Linked DNA regions of Oryzias latipes. The protein of the gene in region 2 purifies or fractionates together with the protein of the main gene of each other region. This does not show direct contact. Links are inferred from orthologs where the notes say so. Each region holds a gene or a part of one and is shown on either strand. Other genes may lie near its edges.

Region 1 (4,490 bases), on a different chromosome or scaffold from region 2:
GAGGCAGGAGCTAGGCGTGTGTGCACAGCCACACATGGCTCTCTGCCTCTATGGGAGGGCTCTCAGCATCACCTCAAGGAGCCATACCTCTTCTCCAAGCATGTTCCACAGGTGGACCAGCGGCAGCCCCGTGTTGTTGTCATAGTTGGATACCTTCACACAGAGCAGAGGATCGGGCCGTTACATGAAGCCGGTCTGGTGAGGCTTCAGTCGGGCGCTTGTCTCACCTGTGCCAGCAGGGCCACACCTCTGGTGATTTCCTCAAAGGCCGACGTGGCCTCTGAGGAGAAACGGTCCTCCCCTGATGGAGAAGATCACAAACGTTACACAGCTGGTGGTTCCACGAGAAAACAAGCTGCCTGCTGGGAAAACCACCAGCAGACGGCGAGGCTGAGGCAGCCAAAGAAAATGCCACCACTTCTTTGAAAAAGGATCGAATATGAACGTCCCGACTCCAATTCAGAGATTTGACTGAAGAAAAAAGTTAAAGTGACCAGCAAGGTACCTGGGAGAGGGGCGATGTTGTCCAGCAGCACCTCTGCACCTTGAAATGGTAGAGTCACAAAGTCGGATCTAAAGATAAGAAACACCACAGAGGTAGAGGTTAATGAGGGTCAGACTCTTTTGGACTTCACCTGCACACAATCACAAGAAGCAATGACACACTGAATGATGGAAGAACAAAAGGGGAACGTAATGCACAGTTCTGTCCCAAAACGCCATCCGTGCTGCTCTGTAGAGGACAGCTGAAGACCCAGTCCCATAACCTAACGTTGGCATTTTTCTCATTGATAAAGAAAATTCATCCTAAAAGTGCTTTTCTGACCATCTCTTCCGATGGTTGATGAAAAAGCCTTGTAGTAGAAAACATGCTCTCACAAAACTGAAGGGGGCGGGGTCGCTCTGTGCAAACCCAGAGGAATATCTAATGAACTCATACTGCTCTGCAGAAACTAAGTCCAAGAAAACGTTTATTATGGCTAAAAACGGCATAACCATAACTAAAGAGCACTATACGCTTTGAGATGGATTAAAGGTGAACGGAGTGGGATTCCTACAGCCTGTATATATGGCTGTTTTGGGAAACAGAACAGAATCATTTACCATAATTTAGGATTTTACCTTTACCTCATGTTTGCCTTTTTTAAAGGACATTTAAGGATTACACACATACACCCACAGTAGCACACTCTGTTTATGTCCATAAAGGTGCTCATGCATCCTGCTGACCACGTCTTAAAGTTGAGTCGGGGCAGCTGGACCTCAAGTCCAAGTGTGAACGGACCAGCCTCCTGGCCTGACAAAGGCCGGGGAACTGACCGCTTCACCTGCAGTCTGTCACTAGATGAACCTGAACCTGCTGACTCCATCAAGGTCCAGACCAGATGCTAGAGAGCAGAGGACCGCCCACAAACGGCCCGGTGGCACTCGCCTGATCTGCCGTAGAGCATCGATCTTGACTCGGTCGTAGCCTCCGTAGTCCACGTATCTGATCTCCACCTCGTTGGTCTCCTTGTAGAAGGTGATGACCTGAGCTCTCCACCAGGCTCCTTCGCCTGCAGGAGCTGCACAGATGACACCGACTGCAGGAGAGAGGAGAGCAGGTGAGCTGCCACAGGCACACTAGAGGAGGTCCGGATGCTGGGACAGGAACCCACCTTCAGCAGGGGACGGCAGCGCCGGCGTGCCGGGCTGCGAGTAGCACAGAAACATCTGCTGGTCCAGGCTCCTCAGGGCGTGGTAGGTGGGGTGGGTGTGCTGCTGGACAAAGATGTGGCCCGCTGACACGATGTTGACCACGATCACCTCCACCGTCACGCCGCTGGGCAGAAGCAGCTGTAGAGACGAGCACACAGGACAGGCCTCAACATCCCTCTTCAGCGTCCCAGACTGCCAGCGCAGAGCTCGTCCTTACCCAGGACGTCATGGGGAGCGAGGGCAGCGTGAGCGGTGGTGGAGGGGGCGCGTACAAGTTGGTCAGGTCCAGGTCTTTGAACTTTTTGCCGATAAGTGAGAGGGCTTTGTCCACCTGCTGCTGCTCACCTGGAGAGAAGTGAAGGGGTCAGAGGCTCATGGGGAGTCCAGGTGTGTCCCTGTAACACTGCCTCACCCTCAATGTGACAGATCTGGAAGTCTTGTGTGTACGGCAGGGTGGAGATGTAGATCTTTGCACCAGAGCTCTGCTTCAGGTAGCTTACGTATCTCCCCTGCTTTCCGATCAGCCGCCCCACAAAACGCTGGAAGAGAAAGTTGGCGAGGTCAGGACGCCGCTCCGTCTGCAGCCTTTAACGCCCGGAGGTTCTACTCACATTTGGCACTTCGATCTCCCAGATGACGAGTCCTGAGCTGGAGGAGGCGGCGCCGCTCGCCTGGCCCTCTGCAGCCCCCATGGTGCAGCCGCTGTCCACAGAGTCCATGCTGTTGACGTCAGAACCTGGACACAGAGACGCAGGAGAACATGCAGGCTGTCCTTCAGATCCCATCCTGAGTTTGTTTGAAACTTCAACTCTTAAGCTCTAGTTCTGCTGGTCTCATGAGTGGGAAGTTACAGGAGGACAGGTGAGACAAACGTGATCATCACCACGGCAACTGTCAGGGCAGCAGTTCCAGAGCCACAAACGCAGTCTGCTATTAGGAATCCAGGCAGAACTGGGCTCAAACGGAAGTTCTGAAGGGACGTTTCAGATCAAATGTCTGTCTCTTCATTGCCGACTCTGCAAATCGTTTGAAATCTCCCTTTTCTCCTGGACCCCACCCTTCTATGTCTTCTCTCAGACTGCATACCCCATCCCTTCTTTTGGGGTTTAACCCTGACCCGGGTCAGCACAGGTGAGCCTGGGTCATGCTGCTGTAACCTATTTGGTTACTACCTCTGGGGTAGTTTAGCCTCTGCTACCCCATGCACCACCTGCGCTACACCTGCCCTATGGATCCTCTGTTGCTCTCCCCAACATGACTTAAAATTACCCATCAGCCCCCAGCCACAGCAGGGCCGAGCCCTCCCCTCACCTCCGGACTGGTCCGTGTCTGCCTCACAGGTGATGTGTGCTCCGTTTTTGAGGCCGAGCCCATTCAGCCTCTTGATGGCGCTGTCCTCGGTGCTGCTGTCAGGCTGGGACGAGCCGCCGTCCTCTGACAGGTGGCTCACCTGGACGGCCTCGGCCGGTCTGTCGAAGGCGCTGCTCTGCAACTCCTCGCTGCTGACGCCGTCCTCAGAGTGGCATGTGCTGCAGGCGGAGTCCTCCGCCAGCGCCACTCCCTCTCCGCCTTTCTCTTTGGTGTTTAAAGGGGGAGGGGCTTGGTGGGAGGGTGAAGACCAGCCGTCGCTACGGACCTCATCTGTCCGAGGAATACTGGCCCCACCAGCGCCCCATCCTGCTGTTGAGGAGCAGCCATTGTGGAGCTGCTCCTCTGCTACGCCTCCTGGCGACGAGCTCGTCAGGACTTGACAGTGAAGTGACACCCCCGCCTCCTCCTCCTGTAGGCGTGGCTCCTCGCCGGTCCGGCCGCGGTCCGGCTCCCTGCAGCTGGAGACCCCGAGGACCTCCTGAGTGGCTGCAGAGATGACCTCGGTTATAAGTCCAGCTGCCAGGAGCTCCAGCTCCTCCGCGCCTCCCTGGAGGGCGTTTTCTGCTGAAAAGGTGGGGCACGTGGGCGTGCTGGTCAGGATGTGTTGATGTAAATTCTGCACAGATGGGGGGGGCGTCTCCAGAGGGTCAGCCTCTGACGGGGTGCCCCCGGAGCCTTTGGGGGGGGTGTGCGGGCAGATGAACTCGTGTTGCGAATGGACAAAACCCTGATGCTTCGCAACTTCACCCTCTGGCTCTGGTCGCTCCGCGTCAGTCAGAGGCGCCGCTGTGCACGAGATGCTGACATCACAAGCCTGGGGGGGCAGGTAGGCCCCCCCGGAGGCTCCTGAAGCGACTCCTGAGTCTTCATCTGGACGTCTCTCCAACGAAGCAAACAGGGAGCCCCCCTCTGGCTCCGTGTGCTCCTTCAACAGTCGCTCTGAGAACTCCTGATCTTCATGAGAAGCCAGAGGAGAGTCTGGGGCCTCAAACTCCCCCAGGCCTGTTCTGCAGGGGGGCGGCGAAGCATCTTCACAACCTAGGTCCAGTGAAGGTGCTGTTTTAGAGTCCTGGGAGCCCCCCTCATGCTGTGAGCTCAAGTCATTGACCCCTGCAGGTCTGAGGGTGGGGCAGTCTGCTTCCTGTGGGCAGTGCACAGTGCCTTTTTCAACCAAACCATTGCTGCCTTCAGCCTGACATGCTTTAAGGCTCACAGGGGTGGGAGGGGCCTCTGACGCGCCCTGGCCGACCAGCCGCTCTTTCTTCCGGGAGGTGAACCACCACCAGCCGATCAGAACCAGGACCCCAGGCAGCGTGTAGGGAACCACAGAGCGAAACCTCAGAGGCATTTCCTCGGTAGTCCGACAGCTGAAAGACAGAGAGACCCCCCCATCAGGAGAGCAAAGACACAAACGACCGCCA
Region 2 (4,490 bases):
CAGAAAAAACTGAGGTCATTATACTTGGTCCTAAAAACCTCAGAGATGCTCTGTCTGCTCAGATAGTCTCCCTGGATGGTATAAGTATAGCCCCCAATTCCACAGTTAGAAACCTTGGGGTTTTACTTGACCAGGATTTATCATTTAAGGCTCACATATCTCAGGCATGTAGAACTGCCTTTTTTCACCTGCGGAATATTGCTAAGATCAGAAATATACTTTCTAAGAGTGATGCTGAAAAACTCATCCATGCATTTGTTACGTCGAGGCTGGATTACTGTAACTCCTTGTTAGCAGCGTGTCCTAAGAGTTCCTTAAGAAGTCTCCAGCTTGTTCAGAACGCAGCTGCTAGATTGTTAGCTGGAACCAGCAGAAGAGATCACATCACTCCTGTGTTAGTTTCGCTCCATTGGCTCCCAGTTGATTCTAGAATTAAGTTCAAGATCCTCCTGTTAACCTATAAGGCCTTACATGGAATGGCCCCGTCCTATATTAAGGACCTCATAGTCCCTTACCAACCAATCAGAACACTTCGCTCGCAAAATGCAGGACTGCTTGTGGTTCCTAGAATTGGTAAAAGTACGGTTGGAGGTAGAGCGTTTAGCCACCAAGCCCCTGTCTTATGGAATAAACTCCCAGCTCATATAAGAGAGGCCGACTCAGTTTCTACATTCAAAGCTAGACTGAAAACATTCCTCTTTGGACAGGCTTATTGTCAGACTAGTTAGTATTCAGAGATTATTTAACTTAATGTTAGTTTGTTTAAATTAAACTTAATAATAACTATTTCTTTTAAAAGGCTGCTAGAAGTTGAAGCTGGGGTAACTATGGTGCACTGGGGTTCTGTCCTCTTTCCTTTTTTTACTTCTACCCTTCCTCTCCTCTATTCTTGATCATTATTCATCATTTAGTTCTCCATGCCTCTGTTTGGTACAGTGCGATTCATGTATTGTCCCTCTTTTCCTCTCCCCTCCTGGGGAGTGGGAGTGCTTCCAGACTCCAGTTGGCTCATCCGTGCTCCAGTTCCTGACCGTTTACCTCGCCTTTGCTCCTGCTCCTACACCTGGCTGTGGATCCTGCCTCTGGCTCATCTCTGGCTCGTCTCTGCTCTGTACCTGACCGAGTACCTCGTCTCTGCTCCTGCTCCTACACCTGGCTGTGGATCCTGCCTCTGGCTCATCTCTGGCTCGTCTCTGCTCTGTACCTGACCGAGTACCTCGTCTCTGCTCCTGCTCCTACACCTGGCTGTGGTTCCTGTCTCCGGCTCGACTCGCGCCTTTGACTGTCCCGATAACCACGGCTGGATGAAGCTCGTCTGCTGGACTTTTATATATGTAGTTGTAGATTTAGATAAGTTAATTCTTCTCTAAGATTTCTGGTAAATCGCCTGTCCGTCCTGGGGGAGGATCCCTCCTTCATGTGGGCACCCCTGAGGTTTCTTCGTTTTTTCCGGAATCCGGTTTTTTTGGGAGTTTTTCCTTACCGCGAAGGGGGGTCTAAGGGCAGGGATGCCAGTATAGCTTAGTCAGTTTGTTAGTTCATTTTAGTATTTTTCTATTGAACTCTTTGTATTCGTGATCCTTTTGATTTCATGTTTTACTTCGAAGCCCATCGAGACGACTGTTGTTGTGATTTTGGGCTATACAAATAAAATTGAATTGAATTGAATTGAATTAATAAAGAACTGCAGTTCTTTATTAGTTAGTCATGGGGAAGTGAAACCCCTATATGTACATTTTTGCTTTTTTTATGCATTATTTTCTTGTCCTTATCTGTTTTGAACAACGAATGACAGAAGTGAAGCTGTCATTCACTCAGATGTGTTTGTCAAAGAAACAGAACTATGTCCTTACACAAAAAAAAAACAATCCTGGAGCTAAAACTTACCCTTAGCAAAAAGTAGTACGCTTGAGTTTTATTTTAATAAGTAAACTTGAGTACAAGTATTACTATAGGAAGTCTACTATACATGATGTTTGTGTAGTGTAGGAAGTATACTTACTGAATACTTCTTCAGACTAAATTGGAACATTCTAAGTTTACAATAAATAGATAGTATATAAAAAGTAAACTTAATATATTATGCCTCATTTATATATAGTATAGACTAAGTATACTTGCATAAATAGACTACTTTAGCTATGGGCATCGCTGAGGTTTTCTCATAACACAACTCCCTTTGCGAGTTCAACCTAAATCAAAAGAAGCTGACTGAAGAATGACTAGACACAGCATTTTCGCTTGGCGGACACCAACAACATAAATAAGGCAACTGCACAAATGTACCCAGGCATTTGACACTCCCCACAGCATAGGCAGATGCGGCTCTTGGCTTGTTTGTGACCAGAGCCAGCTCCCCAAAATACTGGCCCCTCGTGCAGGTCGCAATTTCCACCTCTTCCTCCTCCTGATCCTTTTTTGTCATCTGATGGGAAAGAAAAATAAAGACAATAAGGAAATCCTACACCATCATAGATCTATATACTGTATTACAGGAACAACTGCATACCCGGCTTCTCTTCATTGTGATTCTAACTTGGCCACTCTCAACTATGTAGAAGCAGTCTGCCAAGTCACCCTGGAAGGAAGGCAAATTCTTGTGAAGAGAACCAAACCCAGTATCAAGACACAAAAGAAAACAAAATATTAGTAAATAAGGGAAATATGCCTCACCTGAGCAATAATTTGCTGTGAATCGTTGTACACCCTGGTGGAGAGGACATCTACCACCTTCATTCTCTCTGATGTCTGCGGGCAGAAGAACATTACACTGCGTTCAGTCTAAATGCATAGTGGGCTTTGGTAACTCTAGATCAAGGACTGTCTTGACCTCTAAAGATGTCAGAAGTGGTAGTGTTTCGATGAATGCCTCATAAAGCCTCCTCTTCTTGGCGTTGTTCTTCACTATGATTCTCCTGAATGTCAGACGATCCTGAATGAATAAAAAACAGTGTAAGTCATGAAAAACACTCACATTTTAATATATCTTTTAACCATAACTATTTAAATCTATGTCTTTTGTTCTTTGTAACTATCTATAAATAAAAATATCAAAGGTAAAAACCCAGAATCCACAGAGACAGACATCACTGTGTGACTTTTTTTGTATGTATGCTCCAGCTCTTTGTAACAAACAATAATTCATATAAACTCATGGAATGTAAAGCAGCTCCAGATATAGAAAAAATGCACTTTTTGTGTTGCTTTAAATAATGCAAGACCCTCGCTGTTGCATGTCACTTCAGCAACTTCCATGTAACAGAGTGGGTGACGCCCCTCTGGAGGATTTGTAGCTGCTGCAGGGAGCATCAAGCTGCTAAAATCTCCATACCTGACTGAGTCACTTGGGCCTAAGTGGCTCTGATTAACCACTACAAATTACTGCTTGCTCAGATGTTGTGTGGCAGAAAAGCCTCCGTCCAAAACTGACCGCTGACCGCACACTCAGCGGCATTCTTCAAGAGCTCAGGTCAGCGGGGGACACAGCGGCACACCACCTGCTCCATGCAGGTAGATCAGAGTTCCCTTATTTAAGGGAACGACCCTCAATCATGACTCATTTCAGGGACTGAGTCAGAAACGAACAAGTCACGTCGCTTTAAGGGGTCAAGTTGCAACTGCATCCTCACACAATTGTGGTGGCATCCAAAGCAATTCAATGCTGGTTAAAGAAATGACACTTTGATGCTAAAAAGATCCTAAAATCAAACACAACATGCTTGAAATTTGCTCAAACATTCTCAGTTATAACAGAAATAAAACCTTTGTTACATTTGCTACTTTTTCATGATTGCAAGCGTTCCTAAAATCATATCTGGAGTGCATGTAAATGCTGTTATTTCTGCCTATCCCGTATCCTGTGTGTTTAAGCGGTAAAACAAGATCTTTTCTCAGGGTTACCAGGGAGTCACGCTGCTACAAACAAGCTATTTAAATTGTACCAACTGACTGCACAGCGTGCTAGAAAAACTAAGTAAGGAGCCAGCTGTGCTCTTGCAAGAGGAAGTGATGGTTTACTCACCAGGCACCAAAGGGCTCCAGGCGAGGTGGCAATGATTGTGGCTGCTCTGGGGGTGTTGTACATCAGCGCTAGTTCTCCAAAACTGCCTCTGTTGTCATAGCAGCCCACCAACTTCTCAATGCCATCCACCTTCACGAAAATGTTAAATGTCCCACTGGACAAACACAAGCAGAAGATAAACAACCAGCATGAAGAGGAAGAGAAGTCATTTACAACATGCAGTGAGGAGAAAAGAAAAAAGCTCTGAAGGCACCTTTCAATAACGTAGAAGTTGTCCCCATCATCATCCTGATCAATGATGTGCTCTCCTTCTGTGCAGAACTTCTCAAACATGGCATCCAGCACTTGAGATATTTCTTCCTGAAAGATGAATAAAATATCAAACATTTTAGGTTGTGGTGATGAAACAAATTTGAATCCACGCTGTTGTTTTGGCATGCAGAATAGAATAGAATAGAATAGAATACAT
Region 3 (5,283 bases), on a different chromosome or scaffold from region 2:
AAGTACGGTTGGAGGTAGAGCGTTTAGCCACCAAGCCCCTGTCTTATGGAATAAACTCCCAGCTCATGGAAGAGAGGCCGACTCAGTTTCTACATTCAAAGTTAGACTGAAAACATTCCTCTGTGGACAGGCTTATTGTCAGACTAGTTAGTATTCAGAGATTATTTAACTTAATGTTAATTTGTTTAAATTAAACTTAATAATAACTATTTCTTTTAAAAGGCTGCTAGAAGTTGAAGCTGGGGTAACTATGGTGCACTGGGGTTCTGTCCTCTTTTCTCATCTACTTCTACCCTTCCTCTCCTCTATTCTTGATCATTATTCATCATTTAGTTCTCCATGCCTCTGTTTGGTGCAGTGATTCATGTATTGTCCCACTTTTCCCTCCTGGGGAGTGGGAGTGCTTCCAGACTCCAGTTTGCTCATCCGTGCTCCTGTACCTGACCGTTTACCTCGCCTTTGCTCCTGCTCCTACACCTGGCTGTGGTTCCTGTCTCCGGCTCGACTCGCCCCCTGACTGTCCCCCCAACCACGGCTGGATGAAGCTCGTCTGCTGGACTTTATATGTGTAGTTGTAGATTTAGATAAGTTAATTCTTCTCTAAGAGTTCTGGTAAATTGCCTGTCCGTCCTGGGGGAGGATCCCTCCTTCATGTGGGCACCCCTGAGGTTTCTTCGTTTTTTCCGGAATCCGTTTTTTTGGGAGTTTTTCCTTACCGCGAAGGGGGGTCTAAGGGCAGGGATGCCAGTATAGCTTAGTCAGTTTGTTAGTTCATTTTAGTATTTTCCTATTGAACTCTTTGTATTCGTGATCCTTTTGAGTTCATGTTTCACATCGAAGCCCATCGAGACGACTGTTGTTGTGATTTTGGGCTATACAAATAAAATTATAGTGACTTGAATTAGAACCATCATGGCACTAGAAGTGAGGATCCTCCAGGTGTTCTCACTGGGTTCTAACAGGCAGTGGCGGTTCTACCCTGAATTACTCCCCGGGCGAGACCCTCCTCTGGCGCCCCCCCCCCCCCCCCCCCCCCCCCCCAATCGAGCCACTTTGTCCATTTATTGTAACTGAAAATACAGTTAGGAAATATTTAATCAAACACAAATAATCTGAAATAAATATAAACTACAAATCACACTAATAATACACTAGAATAAATGTAACTGCAGCACTAAGAACAGAAAACACTAACTAAAACCTAACCTTTGTGGCCTTCCTGATGCAAGCTTGTCAATAACGTCATCATATGAAATCTGCTCCCCCCCTGAATGATTGATACTAACAACAGCAGGTTAGTGAGTTGCTCCTGAGACATTGGTGATCTCAGGTATGACTTGATCAACTGGAGTTTTGAAAAGCTAACAACAGCAGCAGCAGCAGCAGCAGCAGCAGCAGCAGCAGCAGCAGCAGCAGCAGCAGCAGCAGCAGCAGCAGCAGCAGCAGCAGCAGCAGCAGCAGCAGCAGCAGCAGCATGCTACCATCACAGCTTATTTAACATTATGAACTAATATACAACAATGAAACACAACAAAAACTTTGTGTTACAGCAGACAGACACACGAATCATAACTAATGTTACAAGTTAAGGCAGAGCAAACATTTAAGAATAAATATCTTAAAAATGACGTTATTTGCAATATTTGGGCCTCCTTCAGTTTTGCTCATGATAGACCAAACAAGAGATTTTTCATCTGCAACGTTGTTGTTGTAGGGCAGATAGCATTCGAATTTAAAAAACGTGCATCTAGCTATGCTATATTACCCTTTTCTTTGTCTCTTTTCTCCTCTTCTTCTCTTTTCTTTCCTAATTGGGCACCAGCTTTGACCTTTTTTCTCCATATTTCAGATGCTTTTGCATTTAGCATAAATGTCCTGACATAGGTATCAAGTCTGTCGACTAAACCAACTGTCATCTAAGTGAAGAATTGTTTTTGTTTTCCCATTTTGTATTTGGGCATTTCATACAAAAATAACCAAAAAAGCATGATTTTTTTATACCCGCAGCCCCCCGTTCGTCAAACATTTCCAGCAGGAGCGCGTGCAGCTGCACCCAGGGGCGCCAATTCGCTACATGGCGGCGCAATTTTTATTTTTTCATCAAGCACTGAGCCGCGGCCCGCGACCGTTGCCCCCCTGGAAGAAGATCCAGCCAGGTTTGCGCATGCGTTTTGCGCTCCGTGCTCACCTCTCAGGCTGCACCCTTCACCCCGCGCCCCCTCCCTTCTCCTTCTTCACCCCGCGCCCCCTCCCTTCTCCTTCCCACACACATTTGCGTCTACTTCTCAAAGACAGGAGGGAGCGCAGCTGCGGGGCGGGGGCGCAGCCAGGTTTCAGGCTGTTACAAACTCTGTGATATAAGTAAACCAATAGTGGTGCATAAAGTATTTTACAAGAGCTGAGCCGCTGACGCCGCCCCTCCGTCATTTTTCCGCCCCGGGCGATCGCCCGTATGGCCCGTGCCTAAAACCGCTACTGCTAACAGGGTTCCTGTGGTTCTGTCAGTAGAACACCGGTGGAGCAGCAGCTCCTCATTAGCTCGTCCTGCTAATCCTGTTCCACCAGCCTGTAGTTCCCGTCAGAAAGAGTCTATCAGCTCCCTGTTTTCAGACGTTTTTGGTGAACCTGCGCGCGCTCACCTCCACCTGGCAGGTGACCGTGATACAAACGACAAACCAATAAAAACAGTAGAAGAACCGCGGAGCGTCTGGATGACAAAGGCTCCAGCAGCTAGCCCTGGCCATGCTAACACCCGGCTGTCAGACAGGGGAGCGCGTGACAGCTGAGCGGGGGGCACGCGGGACCCCCCCGTCCCGACAGCTGACAGCGCGAGCCACAAGGAAACAAGTGACTGTGGTCCCGAGTCAGAAAGTTCTCCGCGCGACTCGGAGTCGGCGCTTCCAGCCCCTCGTACCTTGGCTTTGCCCGCCTCCAGCTTCTTCTGCCGCTCCTCGTCCTCCATGCTCGCGGCCCCGGCGGCTAGAACCAGAGAGAACCCGCTTCAGACCAAACCCACATGAACGAGACCCGAACGGCGCTCCGCGAGCTCGCAGCCCGCCCTCACAGACGGGCAGCGCGAACTCGCTCTGCTTGTTGGCAGCCCGCCGCCATGTTTTCCACGTAAACATGAGACGGCGACGGTGACGTCTGGTAGGTGGACTTTAGCCACGCCCACTGCTACTTCACTGGCGGACACTTCACGGAGCGTCAGAAAAAAGACTTTCTGTCAGAAAAATGGTTTTTCTGTCGGTCTTTCTTTACTTTTATGACTTATTTACAAACTGTTTATTATAGTTGTTGTTATATTGGAAATTTTAAACCTAAGCATTTTACAGAAAACGTGAATTTAGTGTATTTTTTTCTCAATGCGAAATTTGTATTTTAAAAAGTCAAACATCAGGAAGACGCTCAGTTCATGTTTGCCAGGATTAAATTTTATTCTTAATTCTGTACCTGAGATTTTTCTCCTCCAACTTCTTAGTTTTTGTTTAAAGTGCAATAAAAAAATGAGCTATTAAGCTGCATTCTGGTGCAAGCATCCATGCTTTTTAAGCGTAATGTATTTGTACGCTGTCCCAATCAATAAACAATCAATAAATAAACAAACTAACAAAAGAGTTGGCTTAAATATAACACCAAGAAACATTTGCTTTATTATCTATGAAGCTGTTCACTTTTGAGTTCATTTATTTCTTTTGATCAGATTACAGTTGTCCTTTTTATGTGTTTTATCAAATATCTATTTGTATTAAAATCTTATAAGACTCTGCAAATTACATCAGGAATAAATGTGTTTATTTTTTAACAAACAGATCTGTGAAATTTTATGTTAAAGTCAACATTTTCGCTAACTCAGCTGGACAGAAGCAGAGGTCAAATTCAAAGCTAGCATGAATCTGGTGGACAGGTAAAAGGCCATGAAAGTCATGGGAAATGTGAAAAGAATAAATAGTTTGATAGAAATGTTCCTCTTTTGTGATCAGGCAAACAAAAAACTATTTTACGTTTATTCATAGACCATTCTGGATGATCAGATGACAAATCATAAACTATTAAAACTTCCTCCAGAATAACTTCTTTGTCACCATAAATGCTGTCAAAGTGCCCTTCACTGAAAACCTCAGCTCCAAACATTTGTTCCTCCTGAATTGGGAACGTACCTGCAGCACCCGTCGGTGACGGCGCTCTGGGTCTCCGGCTGACCGGAACTGAGCAGCTTATAGTCTGGCAGATCCTAAACTCTACTCTCCTTTTGGACATTTTTACCGACTGGCTCTGACCCGAGAGCAGCAGCTGTCCGCGAGTAACTAAAACTCTCTGAAGTTTGGTCAGTTTCTGAATTATTCATTTCTTCAGGGAGCAGGCTGGGTCTCCAGTTACCTGAGCAGCTTTGTGAGCAGGTGTGGATCAAGACGGGCCGCCTCTTTAATGTTGAAAACACAACAGTTTAAGGATTCAGTCAAGATCTACAACCTCAATTCACACAACTGTTTGACAGTTTTCAAAGAAAACAATCGTAGAACATTACTACGAGAAGAATCAGACACATTAGTCCAAAACACGGTAACAGCAGACATCCAAACCTTCAACTATGGTGAAGAAAAGCTTGTGTTAGTCTTCTCCTTTTCCTTTCTCCACAGCCAATCAGCTTCCTCCGTCTGTCCCCTGCATCCTCTACCAGCAGCTACCTTCATGTCTTCCTTCTCTGCATCCAGAAACCTCCTCTCTAGGGGGCGCCCTGGGGGGGGGGGGGGGGGTGCTAGTCCTTAGGGAGGTCAGGGCATGAATGGTGGGGCTGGACCTCCTGCCCCTCCGTTTTGGCACCGGGCCCCTTCCCTGCTGGCTGTCTCTCACACAGGCACATAGGGCTCCGGGAACTGGATGGGTGGGGTATGCTGGCGGGGCTCACTGGGGGCATCTCTCTCTGGGGTCGCGTCGGCGCCCACCCTCCATCCCGCTTTTACTTGCATATTAGACACCCTGATTCATCTAGGACCTTATGGGGAGGGTCTGGAGGAGGGGGGCACGGGGAAACATCCGTGCTCATCTTTCACTGCCCCCCCCCCACAAGTTTAACTTCCACCTGAGACACACACACTGCATGCTAGCAGCACACACACAGCAAATACACACCACACACAGAGGGACCCCGGAGTGGGGGGCTGTGCGGCTTGGCAGCGGTGGGGCCCCCCCACACTGGAGACCTCCTATTTTACCTGCAGCACACACACAGTTCACCCACACCACCATACATGGGTGGGTACAGGGGGGGCGGCCAGGCTT
Region 4 (5,015 bases), on a different chromosome or scaffold from region 2:
GAAACACGGCAAACCGCAGATATCCAGATCGAGAGAGTGCAAACAACAAAAAAAACAAAAACACCACTTATTATCAAAGCACGCCGAGCAGATTTCACTAATGCCATTGAGCCACTTTTGTTCTGCGTTTTTTTTTTTTCTCATCCGTCTGAGGGGCCGGCATACCAAAGGTGTCTATTGATCACCAAGGTTACGCAGGAACAATCACCCACGTGGATGGGATGATAGAAGAGAGCACAGAGAGAAAGACAAGAGTTCATGTGCAGGAAATACATCACCACAACAAGCATGAAGCATCTGACAACACGGGCGAGAACCAGCAGAAGGTTTCTAGCAGGAATTTAAAAAGATAAAGTGTGGAAGTTGAAAAACTGGCGTGTCTTGTTACAGAAACCTAAGACATGCATATCAGATCAGATTGAAGAGATAAATTCTGCAAAACACATATGTAAAACCACACATCCTGTCAGACCTGTAAAACGTTTTCGTCCACTCTTTTACCAACAACACATGCAATGTTGCAATGAAAAAAATGAAATGAGGATAAATAAAATATGTAAAACATTGAAAACAGTCATCCCTCGTTTATCGCAGGAGTTATGCTCTAAAAACACCCACGAGAGGTCAAATCCACAAAGTAGTCAACTTTATTTTTTAGCTATAATTCTAGATGTTTTAAGGCTATAAACCCCCATTGTAGAAAAATGAATCCAGTATTAAAGAAAGAAACTAAAGATCTGCTAGAGATTGGAGATTTTTGCAAATCTTGCAAGCTGAACGCATTCTGTATAGAAGAAACATCACAGAGATTGATTGATAATCGTCTACAGCCAATCAGGATACAATGTGCTGTAAAAAGAAAAAGAATGCAAAATTGCACTAAAAAGCTGGAAAAAAAACAGCGAGACCACGAAAAATGAACCGCGATATATAGCGAGGGACCACTGTGCAGATTTTAAAAACGATAAACATGAACGTAGACGATTATCTACTCTCTGACAGGAAACAGCACTTCTTAATATGTGTCAAGCTTTTGACCAATTCAAGTGACAGGAATGAGGGAACGTGATTCTCACGTCACAATTTAAAATCCATAGGTAGTTTAAAATATTGCTGACATTTTTTAAAAGCAAATAAACATATTTCATCTATAGGAACCGGGGGGTGACATCAGTGTAACAGAAAAACACACCAAAAAATATGTTCAGTGGTCCGCTTGGTCTTTTATTTTTAAGGAAAAGTGGGTCTGGGTTCTTCTGGGTTAAAAGAAAAAGTAAATTGTTTAATGAGTTTTGTTTACTTTTCCTGTCAAACCAGAAAAACACAGAAACACGGGTACTGTGAAAGGCCATCGGTGTCATGGCGGCACAAGTTAAACCTTGCTGTCCATCCGTGACTGCGCTGATGATCTAACTGTTGCAGCCACTGACCTTAGTGTACAGTAAACACCAGGCGCTGTAGGTTACCTGGTTGTTTGTCGGGAGCAGCTACGCTAGAAACAAATCTGCCAGTCAGGGCACCGTGTCATCTTAAAACAGGTTTAACAGTTAGCCGCCGCACAAGATACGGGGATCACAGGTGCGTTTAAAAGAAAAAGAGTCCCGATTCCATCACTAATCTGATCATCTCTGTCTCCGGAGAGGCTGCTGGTTGGATTCTTGGTTCAAGCATTTTAAGCAGAGTCACAGCAAAACCTTGATCTTTTATCAAAAATATGAAGAAGAAGAAAAAAATCTGTGAAAAAGAAGAGGTGCTTTCCATCGTATTCGTACGTTTGTGGTCATCAGAAAACACAATAAATCTCAACAACTTTCACGGTTTACGACCAGGTATGAGGAAACAGTTCTGATTTACTACTGTGGTGTTCAATGATGATCAGCTGCACACATCAGACTATATGAGCGTAAAGTAACACTGGCCCAGGTCCAGTTACGTCAAACCTTTCAAAGCTTGTAATACCCCCTTATCCTCTGACGAAGGTCCGATGACAAGCTGCTCCAGTCAATGACAAGCCGAGTGTGAGAAGTGAGCCCTGATGGACCTTCACCACGGCAAGATTAGAGAAGAGCTTCAACACAAACACAAGTGGGGGGGGGGTTCGATGGTGTTGGGTTTTTGTTTTTCTTCTTCTTAAGCGTGTGCACACATCTGCCACAAAGGCAGTAGTAAGCCCCCGTTTTATGAATGGAAAGAAGGGATTTGTCATTTCTTCACCATATTTGGTCATGGCGCTGTACAGAGGGAATGTTTTGTTTATGCGCCTAAGAATAAAACGTGGCACTGAAGCCAGAGGGGGGGGGGGGGGGGGGGGCAGTTGCTCACCGACTTCAAAGTGAACCGCAACGCCCGTTTACTCCAATTAGTCACGGCTCTTGGGCTTCATTTAAAGTTAAGTTTTACTGGAGATTCGAGATCCAAATTTCTGTTCAACAGCTGGCTCTGTGCTGATGATGATGATGATGATGGTGGCGGTGAGCCCGCAGCCAAAAGGCACAGCGAAAGCCACATCCCCCTGCTGTCAGGCAGAGACAGAAGCCCGGGATGACACAACGCGAAGGTGATGATGCCTTCAATGTAAACACGGCCAACCAAACGGCCTCAGGCCGGACACAGGAAATGACCGCACGCCGGGGCTAACGGTCTCGGCCCTAAATAGCTTCCAAGGGGGAACGAGGGGCCTTATGAGGGCTAATCCCCCCCCTTCAAAGCTAAAGTTAGCAAGCTAGCTCCTCTCCAGATTTCGTTACCGACTAGCAGCCAACACAAACTTTCAATTATAACATTTTGGGTATTCATTAAGATTCATATCTTTCGGGAGCGTCTTTTTTTAGCAGCGTGTTTTTTACTTCGTCTCTCTGCTTCTCTCTTCCCCACTCCCGGGATGCAAGACAGCAACACAGTCTCGGGGTTTCCAACAACTTACTAATTCTTTAAATACTGTGATTTCAATAATGTGCAAAAAAACAACAACATTTTTTTTCACGCCATGAGAAGGGACGGGTTCGCGCAGAGATGGCAGATAACGGAGGAATGAAGTCGGGTTAGCGGCCGGCCCTCACCGCCTCTACAGCGGTTTCCAGCAAACGAGCGCGTCGCCGCTGTAAAAAAAGTGTCACCGGCGTCTCTGATGGTGGATGCTAGCGGAACACGGCGGCCCGCTCCCGGCGCACACTCACCGCTCTCCAGCTCGTTGCCCTTCTTGGCTGTGGCGGCGTTCCCCATGGTGTGGAAGACACGGCGGCCGCTCCGACTTAGAGGAGGAGATGGCGGCGGCGACGGCGGTGCAGGCTAGCTAACCTCCCTTCCACTTGATGATTCGGAGGTCTTGGCGTTTCCTCCGGTGAAACGGACAAACCACTCTCGCTTTCTACTGGAAATGAGGGGAGGTGATGTCTGGAGTCCCTTCCGGCGGTCCCCGCGCGCGCCCTCTCCCGCTCCTCCTTCCCCGTGAACGGTTTCCGCTGCTGCTACTCGGCTGCTGCCTGCTCGGCTGGCATGGAGCTAGCGGTCACTGGTGTTTGTGTGACTAAGCTGCTCCCCGGCCCTCAGCTGCCTTCACGGTGGGCTCGGATTGGCTCCACGAGTCGGTGACAAGATGCTAATCCGGGCTTGCTTCCGCATTTTTAGACTCGTACTTTGCAGTTGCTTTACTTTTATTTGAGACATTTTATTAAGAATCCAACTTCAATCTGGAATTTCATACCAAATTACATTTTCTCCAAATTAGGTGGCATAAACTTTCTTTTATTCTGTAACTATAATGTACAAAAGATCCCAATTAAGCTTTCTTGCTTCCATAAACAAATGTTACTTTCCTTGTCACTTATTTACAAACACCATTGTTTTCCACATAGATACGACATATGGAACAATAAAGACATTACATATAGACCTAAATCTTTATTTTATCCATCATGGTTTAATCAAAACATCCTTTTGGTCCATCAGCTGTTTAATTCAAACGGATCTTTGATGTCACATGAAGAATTCTGCTTCAATTATTCCATCAAAATACCAAAAACTGAGTTTAACATTGTTTTGACAGCAATTCTTAAATCTATTACTATGTTATTCAAAAGCTCATCATTGCAGAGTCCAACTTTATTACCAATTGATTCAACTAAAATAGAAATAGGCCAAATTTGTTTTTCTTCTTCACGTAACACAAATCACCGTATACGCTCACTCTTCCAGAAGGATGTTGTTTCCATTCCCTACGTAGTTTCTTTTTGGAATAATTTAGTTTGTCATTTAGAATGGAAAAAGATCTGGAAAGCGAAATACTTTTTAACCAATAAAGTGAAAGAAATCTCATTCAAACTGATCCAAAAATTCTATCCATCCAAACTATATCTGCAAAGGTTCAAAGAAAATATTGATGTTGCCTGCTCTTTCTGTCAAGAACACCCTGAAGATGTTGTACATTTATTTTGGTCATGTCTCTTTTCCACCACTCTCTGGTCTAAAGTTTGTCATTTCATTTCCGCCCACATTGACCGTGACTTTCGCCTGTACTTAGAAAATGTTATGTTTGGCCTCACCCACTGTCCATCTCATAAAAAAGAACAATTGTACATCATTAACCTTTTGTTGTTTTTATGCAAATGGCACATTCATAAATCAAAAGTTACGAATCATACCCCTCATTTCTCAAACTTTATCAATGAGTTCAAACAATACATTAACACAATAAGAAACTCTGACAATTAGAAAGCCATCAAAACATTTGGTCTGTGTGTCAGTTCCAATATATCTGCGTAAAATGAAACAATAACCCCCTGGCTTGTTCTTTCGTTGTTGCTGTTTAACATTGTTTTGTATTGAATTGTTACATTCAATAAAGTTCGAAAAAAAACAAACAAAAAAAACCCCTTTTATTTGGTAAAAGGTCTTTAAATCATCGCAAAATGCATGTTTAGAAGGAGAAAATAAAAGCATTTATCAAAGCAAATGACAACCTTAACGTATTTCCAACTTTATTTTATTCAAATTAATTCGTAAAGGCCCATTTAAGT

What was found.
Region 1: the proteins of prkar2b (region 2) and akap1 purify together in Homo sapiens (affinity purification with mass spectrometry; 3 studies listed by BioGRID and IntAct, counting the BioPlex papers as one, with this or other methods). This does not show direct contact. The link is inferred for Oryzias latipes from reciprocal best matches to the Homo sapiens genes PRKAR2B and AKAP1.
Region 3: the proteins of prkar2b (region 2) and akap9 purify together in Homo sapiens (affinity purification with mass spectrometry; 3 studies listed by BioGRID and IntAct, counting the BioPlex papers as one, with this or other methods). This does not show direct contact. The link is inferred for Oryzias latipes from reciprocal best matches to the Homo sapiens genes PRKAR2B and AKAP9.
Region 4: the proteins of prkar2b (region 2) and cAMP-dependent protein kinase catalytic subunit beta purify together in Homo sapiens (affinity purification with mass spectrometry; 7 studies listed by BioGRID and IntAct, counting the BioPlex papers as one, with this or other methods). This does not show direct contact. The link is inferred for Oryzias latipes from reciprocal best matches to the Homo sapiens genes PRKAR2B and PRKACB.

Annotation. Positions count from the first base shown.
Region 1 is NC_019871.2:30,773,004-30,777,493, reverse strand, and holds part of akap1 (A-kinase anchor protein 1, mitochondrial), read right to left. Parts: intron 4,437-4,490; 5' UTR 4,418-4,436; coding exon 3,010-4,417; intron 2,435-3,009; coding exon 2,310-2,434; intron 2,238-2,309; coding exon 2,111-2,237; intron 2,044-2,110; coding exon 1,916-2,043; intron 1,837-1,915; coding exon 1,659-1,836; intron 1,584-1,658; coding exon 1,433-1,583; intron 574-1,432; coding exon 506-573; intron 302-505; coding exon 228-301; intron 154-227; coding exon 88-153; intron 1-87.
Region 2 is NC_019864.2:13,969,789-13,974,278, reverse strand, and holds part of prkar2b (cAMP-dependent protein kinase type II-beta regulatory subunit), read right to left. Parts: intron 4,382-4,490; coding exon 4,275-4,381; intron 4,176-4,274; coding exon 4,022-4,175; intron 2,933-4,021; coding exon 2,831-2,932; intron 2,749-2,830; coding exon 2,674-2,748; intron 2,579-2,673; coding exon 2,510-2,578; intron 2,426-2,509; coding exon 2,287-2,425; intron 1-2,286. UniProt on the Homo sapiens protein: Regulatory subunit of the cAMP-dependent protein kinases involved in cAMP signaling in cells. Type II regulatory chains mediate membrane association by binding to anchoring proteins, including the MAP2 kinase.
Region 3 is NC_019869.2:358,231-363,513, reverse strand, and holds the start of akap9 (A-kinase anchor protein 9), read right to left. Parts: upstream 3,144-5,283; 5' UTR 2,963-3,143; coding exon 2,915-2,962; intron 1-2,914. UniProt on the Homo sapiens protein: Scaffolding protein that assembles several protein kinases and phosphatases on the centrosome and Golgi apparatus. Required to maintain the integrity of the Golgi apparatus. Required for microtubule nucleation at the cis-side of the Golgi apparatus.
Region 4 is NC_019875.2:26,775,814-26,780,828, forward strand, and holds the start of cAMP-dependent protein kinase catalytic subunit beta, read right to left. Parts: upstream 3,467-5,015; 5' UTR 3,223-3,466; coding exon 3,177-3,222; intron 175-3,176; coding exon 166-174; intron 1-165. UniProt on the Homo sapiens protein: Mediates cAMP-dependent signaling triggered by receptor binding to GPCRs.